Linked DNA regions of Saccharomyces cerevisiae S288C. Changing the gene in region 3 together with the main gene of any one other region gives a genetic interaction. Each region holds a gene or a part of one and is shown on either strand. Other genes may lie near its edges. The genes, in order: VCX1, ETP1 and NHA1.

Region 1 (5,547 bases), on a different chromosome or scaffold from region 3:
TCTTTTGTAGTAAAAAGTTGCTGCCGTATTGAAATTGCTCTTGTCGGATCAGGTTGTTTAGCACCGGGTCTTACTTTTATAAAGGAGAATTATAAAGTGAAAGAAAGGAGAACTTATAAGACTAAAGAAAAAAACACTTAAGAAGCACTTAAACTTGCATTAGATGTGTAAATCGATCAACCTGTAACATGTTTGAGGAAGGTCTCACACGTCTCCGAAGTTACAGCTACCACTTAGCGTGTCTGCGGGAACAATAGATCTCTTCCCAATTTGCACTAAATAGGTAACTAGCCAGGCCTATAAAAATCTTCGAGCGGAGAATTGACCGTAGTATCTGCCAAAAAAATCCACCTGCACCAGCATTTTTCGTGTTACGCGAAGTCTACTTTTCGCGTCATCAAAAGACGCTATAAAAATATAGCTGGGCTAATTTTATTCTATAGCTGGCCATTTTTTTATGCGATATCTGCTGGTTTTTTACAGCTGGAATGCCGTGACAGATGTAACAAGAATGTGTTTCAGCTGGCATTCTCACTCAGAAATGTAAGGCTAAAATCCGCTAAAATAGGGCTTCGCGTCTCATGATCTATTCACATTTGTTTCTAATAAACTATACTACAAAACGAAATTCTGTTGTGCAATGATGTAGGAAGCTCCATGAATTTGAGCAAAATTCCTAAATATTCTCGTTGTAATGAATAACGTTACCCTGAACAGTGCAGCAAAGCAGCTGATGTGCTGCAAGAAGAACACGAGCTGTAGTTGAGAAGCTTCGAAATATTAAACCTTTTATCAGAATGGAAATGGTGCAGAATTTGAGTTTCGAAGAGTGTACAAAATATTTTGTTGGTTTTGAAAACTTTTTTTCAGATAAAATTCGATATAAAAATTAGTTGCGTAAACATAATATGTATAATATAACGATCATAATAATGACTTGCTAGTCATAATCATCTTTGTATTGGTCCATCGATAGAATTACGAAGAAGATAAAATATAAAAAAAAAGAGAATGGTGAATTTCTGCGCTACTGTTCTTACTCATAAACTATTTCCAATAGAGTCAAGGGTTTTTTCGTCTGGATAATAGAAAAATGCCATTGCAATCAAAATATACATAGCTAGAGACATGACACCCTCCAACCAGTTTGACTCACCATCGAGAATTAAGTAATTGGATAAGAAAACAGCAATAAAAAGAGTAGCGGTTTCAAAAGTGGAGAAATTTAGCGTCATTGGAACATCGATCATCCAGCCCACAAGAACCATGAATGGTGTAACAAATAAGGCAACTTGTAAAGAGGAACCGATGGCAACACCTAGCGCCAGATCCATCTTATCCTTCATGGCCACCAAGACTGAAGTGACATGCTCTGCGGCATTACCCACAATAGGAATGACAATCAAACCTATAAATGTTTTAGATAGCCCGGTAGATTCAACAACGTTGTCTATCGTACCGACTAGAAAATCCGCACAAAAAGAGATGATCACAGTTGTACCTAGAAGTATCACCAATGATGACTTGACACTCAAAGAGTGATGTGGATTCCTGGAAATGGTGCTCATAACTTCATCGGTCTCTTCTTCTTGTTGCTCAAACAAGGCGTGATGGCTCCCTAGCTGGAAATATAAGAACAAAACGTAAACGATGAGAATAACAATAGAGGTGCCTCTGGATAACTCCAATATTTTTCCATCGATGAAGTGGTCTTCCTTGCCATGAGGTAGGGTGGCTCTAAAGGCAGCGGGAATCAGTAGGGATGCACACGCAATGGCAAGTAATGAGGACATTGTTTGAGCGGCGGTTTGGTTGAATGTCTGTTGGACTCTATTGTATCCACCGAATATGAAGCATAATCCAAGCACTAACAGCAAATTAGAAAGAAGACTACCTAGCATCGAGGCCTGCACAATTCTCACTTGACCTTTTTTCAGGGCAATGATAGAAACAATTAGTTCCACAGCGTTACCAAAAGTAGCATTTAGCAGTCCCCCAATGGTGTTACCAGCCTTATCAGCCAACTCTTCCGTGGCATTAGCCAAGATAGCTGCCAACGGTATAATTGCCAAGAAATTAAAAAGAAATGTCAGTGTATGAGATAGTTGGAAGTGTCCCCAAATCAGACCTAAAGGAACAAATACCAATAGGAAATTCAGGGGTGACGCTTTCAAAATATACTGTAAATCATACACAGCTGCTCTCCATGCAGTGTGCTTTGGATTGCGGGCGGGATGACTGTTCGCAACAGTTAATAGTGGGGTAGTTGCATCCATTGTATCTATGTTGTTTTATTTGCTATCAGCAGCCGATGAATGATATGCGTCGAAGTCAACTATATATTTAGGACTGCTTTTTAAGTTTAGGAAAGAGGAAACTTCTTTTACTCTCTGAGGAGATAAAATAATGCTGGGCGATAGTAATTTCCATATTCTCGTGAGGGAAATTTTTATTTTTCGGGAATTTTGATCAAGCCGTCCAGTCCAGTTTACGAAAAAGGAACTACGTCAATTAGTTTACAAAACATTCCCGATTACGTATGTCATATTCATCGAAGTTCGTAAGTGAGGATGACAAGGGATTAACGTCGTAAGGAAAACAATCTAATTGAAAAAAAAAAACTATTAGATAAGTATATATAACATTAAATTAGAACTTAAATACTACAATATTGTTCTCTTGGCAAAAAACAAGAAGGAAAATAATTGTCCCTCTCCAAACTGATAGCTTCCATTGAGTTCAATAGGAGAAAAAAAAATCCAATTTTTTCACACTTTCGGAAAATTTCCCTTTTAAGTTGTACTAAAATTACAGACAGTTGGAGGCATTAGATTAAAGGTGTATGATAGAGGTTAAAAGTAAACATAAATTCGTAACTGAAGAATTGAAGGAGATATTTCTCTTTGGAGAATTTTAAAAGAGTAAACCAGAAATAAAGAGAATAGAATATTATTAGAGAATAAATGATGTGTTTGGTCCCATGAGAAAGAAAAATTATTGACGTTCAATAATATTTTTTTCTAGCATACTATTTTTTTCGTGATTTAGGTTCTTTTTTCTCCAAATGAAAAACTCTCACATATTCGTTTGTTGCTGGATTGTCACTCCTTCTTCTCATCCTTGGATGCGGTTTATTGTTCTCTACTAATTCCAATGTGTCAATTTTGGTATCTTCCTCAACTTTATCAGTACCCGTTGGGACTTTTTGGGGAGAAAGATTCAAAGACGGCCGGGAAGCAGGAAGAGGAAGTTTTGGAACTTTGGTTTTCCATGAGTTCGGCGATACACCTCCATATCCTCCTTCTAGCCTAGCGCCAGTGGATAATGGTCTTTGCGCTAGTCCTGGCAATGACAGTTTACGCTTTAAAGGTCGTTCAAGAAGTGGTCTCAACTCTGCGGAACTTGCACTTTCGTTGGTTTTTGGGGTCTTGTTTTTTAAAAATTCTACCTCTTTTTTCAACAAGTTTGTCTCAACTGCATACCTTCCCTCTGAGGTGGCCCTTAACTCCGATAGCTGGGCCTGTAACTTCCAGTGAGATGTGGATGCTAAAGACCTGTTAAGCACACTTAATATGAGATCTTTCTCACTAACTAACGTTTCATCATCCCCTTCCTTTATCCTCTGTATGAGATTGAGAATTGTGTTTTCTAGTTCTCTGGTGTTTTTCAAAGATGGCATGAAGTGACTAGTAAAATTGTAGTATTCATTGTCATCAACTTTCTTCGATGAATCTGTAGTAGCGGTATCAGAGTAAGCGGGACTAAATACACTTGTGTTCTCGCTCTTTGCTTCCCTCGTGCCGACCCTCTCATTGGATTCTATGCTCCGTTCACTCTTATTCTTGGCAGGTTCCTCAGGCGTGACAAGATAGGCCTCTGCGCTCCGTCTACTTCTTAGCTCCATAGCCAACAAAATGTTAAATTCCTGTATGCCGTAGCCTTGCCCGCGTTTCGTATCAAAAGGGATGAGAAACTAAAGTGCTCAAATTTTATACGTTTCTAGTGCCTTATAGGTGTATTGCTAAGCCTGTAAGGACCGACGTATGTCCAACTTAGGGAGCTTTACATGTGTCAAAGAACCTTTCATTCCCGATGAGTAAAAATTTTAAAAATGTGCGCGGGAGAAGCTTCGGTCGGCGTCGCCATCAAAGGGCGAGCAACCATGGGTTTATGTAATTTTTGGTTGCTATGGTGACGACAGGTCTGATATCCCGCAACCAGGGGCTATCCCGCAGTGCCATTTCTAGCAAAGAACGAGATGGTTAAATTCTCGTAGCCCTTTCGTATGGACATTACTTCCGATTTTTAAATACTGATTGATTAGAGGTTTATTTTATATGTAAATATATATACATAAAGGGTAAAAAAACGTTGCAGAAAAAATGACTTTCCTTGTATGTTTAGTCGAATAAACCGAAACCCATGTCGTCGTCAGATTCTTCAGCAGCTTCTTCTTCTTTTTCTTCTTCAGCAGCAGCGTCACCACCAGCAGCGGCAGCGCCAGAAGCAGCACCAGCACCAGCAACAGGGCCAGCGTTATGGAAACCAGATAGGATTTCCTTCAAGTCCTTACCTTCCAAAGCCTTAGCGTAAACATCAGCCCAGACCTAATTCAATGATACATATAACAAGCTCCATAGGAAGAGTCGTTATTCGTTGAGTTTGTTAGTAAAATGAGATCCTTGAAGAAGTAATTCGATCCTGACTTGTGCTTTCCGTTAAATACGTTAATGGAGAAATATTTCTACATGTATTGCCCCCTAGTATCTCATCATGTTAGAGGGAAACGTTACATGGAATTTTTCTGTCCCCCATTATTCAAAATTGCGCATTTCTCGGGACGATTGTTGTCTAATCTTTCTCTTCGTAGTCACACAAAGTCGTTTTAGGTTGCATTTTTGTACATACGTTGTCGACATTAGCACCAGCGGCCTTGGTGATAGTCAATAAGTTGTCAGAGGTGATTTCCAAACCAGCATCAGCTAGGATGAAAGCAGCAAAGGAAATAATAGAGTCAGACATTTTCTTCTTAGTTGTTTGATTTCTTTGTTAGTCCAAGATTAACTGAAACTGCAATTCGTAATTTAACCTTGAAATATCACGAAGGGGCTTACAGATTCAACATCAAATGCTTATTTGGTATTACATTGGAAACTAGTTTTAGCAACCGTTAGCCGGAAGTTTCAATTCTAAGATTTCTCCTTCGCGCGACACGCAGAAATGAAAATTTTATTTTTTTTTGCGTTTCATATAATCCTTCTGATGTACGGATGTTTTGTGTAAGATATGTATGGGTTTAAAGGAATATCTGAGGAGCAAACTGAGGCGACGTTTCTCTAACTGACGGTGTTCCTGTATTCGTGACGTATATACTATATATAATGTGCAGGCTTATAAAATACCACTGATGTTCATTTCCTAATTTTGATTTGGCATGATTGCTTCTTTCTACGTACAAAACGTGTCTGCAGAACCTTTAGCCTTAACAATGACCAATCACTTTGAAAGGTTATTAATTTTGTTTTCTAAATTCTCTAATTTTTTCTT
Region 2 (5,547 bases), on a different chromosome or scaffold from region 3:
ATGCAAATCCATAGTAATAACATGATCACACCCGGCTGTTGTTAACATATCGGCCATCAATTTAGCGGTAATAGGAGCACGAGACTTATCCTTTCTATCTTGTCTTGCATATGGGAAATTTGGAATAATAGCAGTGATTCTTCTTGCAGACGCAGTCTTCGAAGCATTGATCATGATCAGTAGTTCTAGAACACGATCGTTCACGACACCAGAGCCAATTTGCGTGATGATAAAGATATCTTGGTCCCTAACAGATTCTCCAATAGAAAAGGAAACCTCACCGGTTGGATCTCTCTTTAGTTTGCTGCTTGTTAACTGTAGACCTAGCCTTTTGGCAACAAGTTCAGCTAAACCTCGGTGGACATCTGGTGCTAATAATTTGATGGAATTTGTTGGCATTTTGTAATCCTAAGTGAATATATGAGGCTCAGTTTGAATGGGTAGGTTCGTTTATCCTGCGCTGGCAAAGTACGTAGAAAAAAGAGTATGAATCTTTCTTAGATATATTCAAGAAAAAGTAAGTAAATAAGAGGGTACGTGATTATAAACAGATACGAGTTTAGCGAATAATACCGTTCGCAATCATAACTTTATAAAACTCATCCTATTACTTACTATTCGACTGGAAAATTTTCGCAGGCAAAAAAAAAAAAAAAAAAAAAAGAAAAGAAAAATCGATGAGCCTGCCGTACACAGAGATATAATAAATTTAGAATGCAAGAATGGTATGGCGGTGATGAAGATAATCATTTCCCTGCTTTTTTATTTTTGTTGCGCTTCTTCTTGCTTTTGGATGCCTGTGCTGCCCCATGTGGTTGCTGTATTAGGATGGTACCTTCTTTTACACTCTCATCAGCGTCTTTGAATTTTTCTTGAGAATCTAGATAAAACATTAGGTCCTTGACTTGCTCTTCCAAATCTTGTTTAGACTCTTCTAACGCTTTGTTTTCTCGCTCTAACTGCTCTTGTTTTTTTGATAAGTGATCTAGGTTCGCTTGTAGTCCTTCGATTACTAACATATCTTCCTCAAGCTTAGATTTCTGGGCCATTTCCCTTTTCTGCCACTCCTTTTGAGTGACCTGAAATTGGAGTTTCAAATCTTCCATAGACTTCTTCAAACTTTCAACATTCGAAGAATCAGACGCAGTTTGATCTTTTTCTTGTAATTTCAGTTCATAATATTCTCTTTGAGACTCTAATTGAGATATTAGGACTTGCACATATTCTAGATGATACTCCCTATGCCTTAAAAAATTTGCCGCCAGCTCGCCATCTTTTTTATTAGAGTTCGATTTCTCACCGTTTTTGCTCCTGTTCCCGTAAACAACATTTTGTAGTTCATCGGAGTTGCCTATATCATTGTTGTCATCGTCACCGGAGCCGCCGACCTCTACTAACTTCCCATCAACTTCATTTTGAACTAGGCGATGGACATAATTATCACCCGCATAATCCCACACTCTTTGTGTCCGTATATCCATCGCAAAACAATGTAAAGTTTCTTCATAATGCTTGATTGCGTGTTTGGAATTGTAACGACCGCATCCAACATTACCGCAGATCAAGCAAATCCATAGATTATCAGTGGAACCACATGTTGCACAATGTGCGGAATCACCTGCCTGTTTCAATAATGATTCCCTGCTTAGCCGCAGACTTGAATGTCGACACACTGGACACCTTGAATTCTTCCACTTATTTAAGCATTGGCAATGAAAAGTGTGCTGGCACGGGATCGTTACTAATCCAGTAGTTTCTGAATCCATTCTTTCAAGGCAAACGGGACATGTGGGGAGTTCGACTTTTACCAGTTCCTTTTTTTTCTTAACAGTGAATGGATCAGTAAGCAGATAGGGGAAGTCCTCGTTAGCGGCTGGTCTTTGGAAGAGCTTTTTTTGAAAAACTATTTCTTTTACAGAGATCACATGGCATGTTTCGGGATCCATCCTGCTGAAACTTTTGCCATTGAACTCTTCCTTGAAATTTTTCGCATCAAGTGCATTCCTGAATTTAATTAAGACCGTGAAATTAAAACCCATTCCCTTCTGCTGATTTCGTAATATACGAAAGTTTGAAACTTGCTTATTAACAATATCATCACCAATATAAAAATGCAATAAATCGTGAACGGTAAAATAAGTTGGAACAAACAGGATACATATCATAGTATCATCTCCCGGGATAGTCAAAATCTCCTTCTCATTAAGAGTATTATTGGCATTGCTTAGCTTGAATAGCCTTATTATCCCATGGCCTAAGTATTGTGAAGTAATCAAATCACTTTCCTCTTCTTTTGATGTTTGATTTTTGAAATCAGTTATCATGTCTATTTCCAAGTCACAGACTCTCCAATCCTGCCAGTCTTGATTATTACTTTTAATACTTTCTTCCCCGATACTTTTTGCCTTCAACTTTTTCGGAATACTCTTGAAAATTTGATAAGCGGATTCAACCTGATTTTGGTTTCCAAATTCTAAAGTAATGATATACTCAAATTGATCCATAGATGTGAGGGCCAACCAGAAAGTAATACATTCAATGCTACTATTCCGTTATTGCCTCTATGTGTTTTCCTTTGAACTTTTACTTAATCCGCGGGTGAAATTTCATTTTTATATTTTCCATTTTATAACAGGCCGTCCCCTAAAAACACCGCGTAAGAACATAGTTTATACACTTATATAAGTAAAAGGTGTAGTAGGTTGGAATGGTAAAGGGCGTATTGTGTGTCAATTATGCGATGAAAATGTATACTTCGAAGTCAATAAAAAAAGAACCTGGTTTGCCTCATGAAGATGTTGCCTGCCCTTTCTTATTTAGTGTTTGTAAGTTATTTTTGTCAAAGTCTATTCATTCATTCAAAGTAGCTTCCTCCACTAGAAAATCGATTAAACTTCTTGGATACGCAGGTCCATGGGTATGACAACATTCTTGTCCTTGCAATTTGCTCATAACGTATGTCACATCAAAGTCCCTCTCTTCTGAAAGTTTGTAAAGATACTCCCAGGTGGCGGGGACTGTTAGTACATGTCTTCCTGCTTCGTCAGTATACTGGGTATTTCGCTTCATAATTTCATTATCCTTTAGCGAATACTTGCCTTTGTGATTCAGTTTGCTTTCCAGGACCATAGAGGTAAAAAATTCATCTTTCGTTGGGAAAGAATATTTGTAGTTGGTATCATCTTCTATGTCCTTTGAAAAATTTTCATTACCACTCCGCAGTAGCAGTCTGTTCTCTGCGTTGATTTCAGTATTTGCCTTTCTTAGTTCCTCAATTTCTTTCAATAAACTTTGGCGGTTCCTTTCACTTTCTAACAATTTATCTTGTAATTCTTTCATTCTGGCTTCTTTTCTCTCTCTGAAGGCTTTTTGGGCGGCTCTGTTTTGAGCCTTTTTCTTTGCCTTAGAGTCATCTGGAACATTCTCATTATGAGCAACTGAGGGACTCCTCGAACTTGGAGATATACCATTATTTTTAGAAAAATAATTTGTATTACTATAACTATCATTATCATTATTATTGTTATCTGCCATAACATAGGTAGAGTAGTCGCCTGAAATAGGGGTTAGTTGAATTGCTTGAAGATCACTACCCTTAGGGAAAGATATGTTGTTCTGTAATAGCAAATCATTATTTGATCTGTCAAGGTTCAAAGCAGGACACTGGTCTTCCAAAATTGGGAAGGGTGCTGTTTGCTCGCTCAATAGGTCTGGTTGTTGTTTTATACATTTGCTATCTTCTTGGAATAGACTATTTCTGATACAACAATCCTCCTCTTGGCATTGAGGGTTAATAAATTTCATGAATCCGCTGGTATTATCATCCATATTAGAAGGCGTCATAACAATTGCTTCAGCCTTATTCTTCGTTAGTTTATACTGGAAGTAAAGCAAACACCTACTGCCCCTTTTATCGAAATGATAAACAAATAAGAAAGCTCAGAGGGCCTCCGGTAATATTCAAATCGATCTGTTTTATAATGCTTATTGAATAATAATGCCGTTGCTGTACTCTTAACATAAAGCTACGAAAATCCACTATACATTTTTCTAAAGAAAAAAAAAAAATTCAAAAAAAATTGATTTCGCCCAGGATCGAACTGGGGACGTTCTGCGTGTTAAGCAGATGCCATAACCGACTAGACCACGAAACCAAATTCTTATTGATTATGTTGTATTACGGGCTCGAGTAATACCGGAGTGTCTTGACAATCCTAATACAAACAGTCTTAGGGAAGTAACCAGTTGTCAAAACAGTTTATCAGATTAATTCACGGAATGTTACTTATCTTATATATATTATATAAAATATGAATCATACTGTTGGAACGAGAGTAATTGATAGTGACATGAGTTGCTATGGTAACAATCTAATGCTTACATCGTATATTAATGTACAACTCGTATACGTTTAAGTGTGATTGCGCCTATTGCAGAAGGAATGTTAAACGAGAAGCTCAGACAATACTGAAGCGGTGTTAAAGACCTATTAGTTGAACATGTTATGGTAGGTACATATATGAGGAATATGAGTCGTCACATCAATGTATAGTAACTACCGGAATCACTATTATATTGGTCATAATTAATATGACCAATCGGCGTGTGTTTTATATACCTCTCTTATTTAGTATAAGAAGATCAGTACTCACTTCTTCATTAATACTAATTTTTTACCTCTAATTATCAACATGGCGACCCCAGTGAGGGATGAAACAAGAAATGTTATTGACGACAACATTTCTGCGCGGATTCAATCGAAAGTCAAAACAAATGATACTGTCAGACAGACGCCATCATCATTAAGAAAAGTTTCTATTAAAGATGAACAGGTGAAACAATATCAAAGAAACTTAAATAGGTTTAAAACCATACTAAATGGTTTAAAGGCAGAAGAGGAAAAACTTTCTGAGACTGATGATATTCAGATGCTAGCTGAAAAATTATTAAAACTCGGAGAAACCATTGACAAGGTTGAGAATAGGATTGTGGATCTAGTTGAAAAGATACAATTATTGGAAACAAACGAGAACAATAATATATTACATGAACATATAGATGCTACAGGGACTTACTATTTATTCGATACGTTAACTTCAACCAACAAAAGATTCTACCCTAAGGATTGTGTTTTTGATTATAGGACTAATAATGTCGAGAACATTCCTATTCTCTTAAACAATTTTAAAAAATTCATCAAGAAATATCAATTTGATGATGTCTTTGAAAATGATATCATAGAAATCGATCCTCGTGAAAATGAAATCTTGTGCAAGATAATCAAAGAAGGACTCGGTGAAAGTTTAGATATCATGAACACAAATACAACTGACATTTTTAGGATAATCGATGGTTTAAAAAACAAATATAGAAGTTTACATGGTAGAGATGTCAGAATTAGAGCCTGGGAAAAGGTTTTGGTTGATACAACATGTAGAAATTCCGCATTGTTAATGAATAAACTTCAAAAGTTGGTACTAATGGAAAAATGGATTTTTTCTAAATGCTGCCAAGATTGTCCTAATCTAAAGGATTACCTACAAGAAG
Region 3 (5,547 bases):
CCGACACATGTAAATAAAAAAGGCATTTCGTTTATATATATACTAAAATAATATATCTTTGTGTATTAATAAATTACTTATTGAGACCAAGCGTTTTTGATAGCGCCGACTTAACAGCAGCACTCTTTTGCTTTTTTTTTCCTTCCGCTGTACCTGGACCATCGTTTCCTGTTTGTGCCTCCACAGGTAAGGGCGGCAACTCTTCGTCATCTTGATCCGCTGGTGCCGTCATCTCACCTAACGCATTTAACCTTCTTTGTCTTTCGAATTCAGTTTCTGATTCATATGCATTATCGTCGTAATCTTCACTATCGTCCATGTTATAACTATCACCTAAATCCTCCTCAGATGAAGGTTCATCTTCCAGATCTAAGGAATCTTGAACTCCTCTCGGTGGCGCAGGTGTTAATGTCCTTTTCTTTAACATCCCTGGGCCCTTCCTGGAGGGTCCTTCGATGGCTTTTTCTTCATCTACTGGAGGCGGTACGCCGCTGTTCGCTTTGCTCTTTAGTCCTACTGCTGTTAAAGCTCTTGATACAACACTATCGTTTCTTGGGCGGTTTTTACTTTTATCATCATCAGATTTATGAGGATTTATCTTGTATCTTTTTATAACATCACCGTCCTCATTCTCGATGATTAACAGATTGTCTATTTTAAATGCATGATACTTGCTGTTTTTATTTTTATCCTTTCCTTTATCAACCAATGAATGTATCTTTCCTAAAGATGTGGGAGTTAAAATTCTCTTTAACCTTCCCCCACTACTACTGGATAGATTGGTCATTGTGGTAGTTAAACTTGAATGGGCTGTACTATCAACACTAACTTCGTCATCTCTCGCCTCATTGCGATCCTCGATATCTACTTGATTCAAGATTTCACCTTGCTTATTTTCAATAATCATTCTATTACCATCTAAATAAGCAGTACCAGGTTTCATTTCTTCCTCTTTCATTTTTCGAATTCTCCTCTCTTCACTACTGGCCATTGATCTTTCACTTTCATTTTCCATCTCGTCTTCGCTTTCAATCTCGCTTTCTGTCTCTTCTCCATCGTAACGGTTTCTTGGTACGTAAGTTCTTCCTCGGAGAGATGAAGATCTTTCAGACGACTCAAAACTTGGTGTGTTATTGTAATTATCGCTATATTCCTTTTCCGGTGTGTACTCATCTTCTTCTTCATCTCCACCCATTCCAATCTCCTCATTACGTTGTGTATTGACGGCTGTGCTCAATGCAAATGTGGCGGCGCGTGCTTCCTTTTCTTTTTGCAACCTTTCTCGTCCCAGATCATTCAACTCATCGTCATCATACATTTCATTTTTAGATCTTGATGAAAATATTTCTCTACCTTTGTTTCTCAGTTTCTGTCTTCTGTTCAATCTTTTCTCTTTTCTTGACAATTTCCTCCTCCTTGGCATACCACCAGCGGGTCTTGCAGGAATTCCGCTCGTTGCGACGCTACCAATTTGATCATTGTTTAATCCTTCTTCATCTTCACCTCCTGCTAGTCCCTTACGACCTCCTCCTTCTTCTGCTTCACCTTCATCCCCTGATAAAGTCATTTGAGTATCCATACGATGCAATGAAAATGATCGTCCAGCTTTATCCAACGATGGCAACCTTTGCATCCATGAACTTTTCCCATTATCACCATTGGTGGTGTGTGTAGTGAATGTTTTGGTTAACGTTATCGTGTTCAAATGACGACCTAGAGTTATGATTGCAACTGAAGAACCATGAACTATGATAGAAGTAACAATGAAAAAACAAGTTATTGGCCATATACAGGCTATCAGCTGCCAATGTTTACTTTCCTCTTTTGATGGTACAACATTTAAAGGAGTGGGTTCGTCACTAAAGGTAGACTCTAATTCTCCACGAGCTAGTATAGCGGCAAAAATTGCACCTACACCAATAGGACCAAAATGGCCCACAAAAAGTGCCTCACGCCACGATTTTATATCAGGTATAAGAGGTCTTAATATCATGACTGCAGGGATCCTACGTAAAAAGATGACCACTATCGAAAGTATAATTAAACGCCAGACGTTTGTGCCAATTTCACCGTTGTTGAATTGACTCCAAGGTATAATGGCACCAAAATAGATAAAATACGCATAGTTTAGTAGCAAATCAATCACGGTAGAAACATTACTTTCTTGTGTCTTTTGAGAAAACCACCCATCCCAAGCGAAAGTCGCACCGGCTGCAAATGATACCAATAGGTCATCCACACCCAAAATGGAGCCGAACCCAGCACACATGAACGCCAGGACAACGTAAAATGCTAAGAACGACTCACGATCGATAATGTTTTTCTTTTCGGCAAACCTGATGGTGATTCTGCCTACATAACCAATGAAGCAACCTAGCAAGCATCCAAACAAACACTCATACAGGATAGTAACGCAAATCCAATCTTTGACAATTTCTCTTCCATTACCGGGATGTAGGATTAAATTCATAGAAAGAAATAAAAAAGGAAAGGCCATACCATCATTGCAGCCTGACTCTGCAGACAGTAGATTTCTTAAGTGACCAGGTACTCTTTGGGCAAACTTACCGGAGACGACCGACTGCGCCAGAATAGGATCTGTTGCGGTAATGCACGCAGATATCAACAAACTAGCAGAAAAATTCAAGCCAGGTATAAGAATCCAAACGAAGAGACCAATAATAAGCCATCCAGCTGTCATCACTGGCAATAATAGCATCGTCACAGATACCCAATGCTTCAACATATATTTCCGTGGCAGTTCCACGGCAACGGCAAAAATTTGCAAACATAATACTATTCTCGTTATCTCTAATGTTATACTGTCTGAATTCCCCCATTTCAGAGGATTAAACCAGTTCAAGCAAACAGGACCCACAATTAGCCCAAATATACCTGCTACGGTGGACTCACCAATATAAAGCTTCTCCTTGACATAAAGTGACACTAAAGAGAAGATAGATGAAAAGACACCAACACATGCATAAGCAACGTGCGCCTTTGAGACTTCTAGTTGCTCCCAGATAGCCATAATATCTAGCTAAGTTCAGGATTTTTTTTTATAATGTACAAAAAAACACGATGCTTGGGAAAAATAAGTGCAGTGGAAAATGAAGCTTAAAAATCAAATGTGTGTAGAAAGTGTGATCCTATGTAAATCGCTAAGTCCGCTTTATCTTGACGATAACGGATCCAGCAGCTTTTAGATTATTAGCTATATCACACAGAGTTGGCTTAGTGCCCTTGCTAATCAAAAATGAAAATCTTCCCAATCCGTACGGAGGGGAAGAGGCACTGCCGCATCGCAAAGAAAAATAAGATTATCAGCATTATATTGTTTCTATTATTATATATGGGACTAGGTGATAAGATAAAAGTTAAAACGGGACTCTTGTATGACCTGGTCAACGATATCATAAACCGTGAAGTCATATTCTATGATGGCTTTCTCCAAGAACAGTGTTGTCACCTCTTGTGACCGCAAGTGTATCCCCACGAGGACATGGAATTGCAAATTGTAGGTAGTTTGTAACCAGTGTTTGAGTTGCTTGAGCGTCTTCAGAAACGGATCTATCAGGTACTCGTTGTATATGACATCCATAGCTATAACGTACACGGAAGAACATGTTTCACCTATGAGTGACAACTCAGGATGCAGAGAGTGGGTCTTTTTGTCTTGCAAGTTTATCTTCTCCCAGTCTAGAGCGGCTACTTCCAAATGCAACGTAGACTTAGATGGAAGTGACGCTGCGGTGATATCAGCGTCGCCAACTGGTTCGACGGTGGGAAGTTCCAATCTTAGTGATCGGGAAATGCACCGCTTTCTGGTCAACTGTGATAAGTTTTCCATGATGTTATCTTTTAATTTATTAAGAATGCCCTTCTGATCTGTCGACACGTAGGTGTCGACGAAGTTACCAAGAATCACGGGCAAAATACCTGATATTCCTGCTCCAAGTTCCAAGATACCTCTCTTGCCGCGATCAGCGCCCGTGAGGTCGACCAGCCTGGGCAACTCAAGCTTGTGCCCCTCGCAAGAAGACCCGCAGGTTACTTCCACCTGACTCCCAAGACGGAAAGGTGCAGCGCTAGTACTATACAGCAGCCAGTTGATGAAGAAAGGTGTGGTAGACCACAAAACGTATCCTGTGGTGGAGTTTCCGTTGTCTCTGGACGAGCGCAAGCTTGATATGGACTGCCCCACGCTAACATGATAGCTATCCACAGCAACATTCTGATCTTCTTCAACACTACTAGCCTTATTTCTTCTTCTCACTCGCTTTTTTTTTCTGCCGCCTTCCAGCCCAGAGGGTTCAAACGTTATCTCTAGCACACCGCCCCTTCTATCCTGAATACCCAAATCCTGCGCCAGTTTCCCGGACTGGCCCTCCAATTGTGTGTACCGTTCGAACACGTGCTCGTATATTGTTTCCTCATCCAGTAGCCATAACTTGAATGCCATTCTGCCTAGCCCATTTGCGTCTTCGCTGCCGTAACCATTCTCTCTTCTTGACAGCACTGCCTTGGTCAGTTCTCTATATTTGTCGCGCCGCCGCAAAATGCACCCACATTAAAGAAGACGACGCCAATCGACACCCTAATTTGGAGGTGTAGATGCACAATGGCACATGCAGTTGGGTGCATTGTGCCAGCAATCTCGTCTCGATTTCTCTACATGTAACTTGTATATATATTTGAGAGAAGACATAATCGTTGGTGGGACTTGGAGGCTCTTGGTAGGTCGTATTTGTGCATCTTGAGAGAAAGCGAAACAGTGCTGCAAACTCAATACGTAAAAAATAACGCAATATGTGGGCTCAATTATCATATACTAGACCAGAATCTCAGAAGACTGACTTAACGTCGTTGTTTTCCACAGATCAAGAGCAAAATCCATTAAATGACTACCAGTACCAGATCAATATTAGGGAACTGGAGGAGTATTACAACAAGACGATTTTAAACGAGGATAACATACAGGAAACAAGCAGTGAAATATCTTCGGCAGTTTCATTCTCTCCACCAAAAAATACAAACGCTATTCAACCGGGGCTACTGTATGATCCACAGTTAATGAACCCTTTTCTCCCATCCGCTCACCTGAATAGCACGGCACCTACTACTTTTAAAAAGAAACTAGAGGTACAAATAAATCCGGACTATGTCCCAAAATCTTCACAATTACCATTAACTTCACAGAATTTGCAACAGTTGTCTCAACAAAAGCCCAAAAATGATGCTTCTTTTTCATCAGAGAAGGAATCCTCAGCTCAACCTAAGGTGAAAAGCCAAGTGCAGGAAACTCCCAAACAATTATACAAGACAGAGCTGTGCGAATCATTCACTTTAAAAGGAAGTTGCCCTTATGGCAGTAAGTGTCAGTTTGCTCACGGACTCGGCGAATTAAAGGTTAAGAAATCGTGCAAGAATTTCAGGACGAAGCCCTGTGTGAATTGGGAGAAACTAGGTTATTGTCCTTATGGCAGAAGATGCTGCTTCAAACATGGCGACGACAACGACATTGCTGTTTACGTGAAAGCTGGTACT

The links.
Region 1: of NHA1 (region 3) and VCX1, extra expression of one rescues a mutant of the other (dosage rescue), as found in Saccharomyces cerevisiae (one study listed by BioGRID).
Region 2: of NHA1 (region 3) and ETP1, a mutation in one rescues a mutant of the other (synthetic rescue), as found in Saccharomyces cerevisiae (one study listed by BioGRID).

What each region holds. Positions count from the first base shown.
Region 1 is NC_001136.10:229,381-234,927, reverse strand, and holds VCX1 (Vcx1p), read right to left. Parts: upstream 2,277-5,547; coding exon 1,041-2,276; downstream 1-1,040. Other genes in the region: cyclin PCL2, read right to left, coding at 1-1; YDL129W (uncharacterized protein), read right to left, coding at 3,029-3,904; ribosomal protein P1 RPP1B, read right to left, coding at 4,401-4,607, 4,909-5,022; STF1 (ATPase-binding protein), read right to left, coding at 5,497-5,547.
Region 2 is NC_001140.6:81,218-86,764, forward strand, and holds ETP1 (Etp1p), read right to left. Parts: upstream 2,505-5,547; coding exon 747-2,504; downstream 1-746. Other genes in the region: ribose phosphate diphosphokinase subunit PRS3, read right to left, coding at 1-399; YAP3 (Yap3p), read right to left, coding at 2,851-3,843; YHL009W-A (gag protein), read left to right, coding at 4,692-5,547.
Region 3 is NC_001144.5:415,921-421,467, reverse strand, and holds NHA1 (Nha1p), read right to left. Parts: upstream 3,032-5,547; coding exon 74-3,031; downstream 1-73. Other genes in the region: RKM5 (S-adenosylmethionine-dependent methyltransferase), read right to left, coding at 3,359-4,462; TIS11 (Tis11p), read left to right, coding at 4,810-5,547. UniProt on the Saccharomyces cerevisiae protein: Sodium export from cell, takes up external protons in exchange for internal sodium ions. Also capable of exporting potassium ions.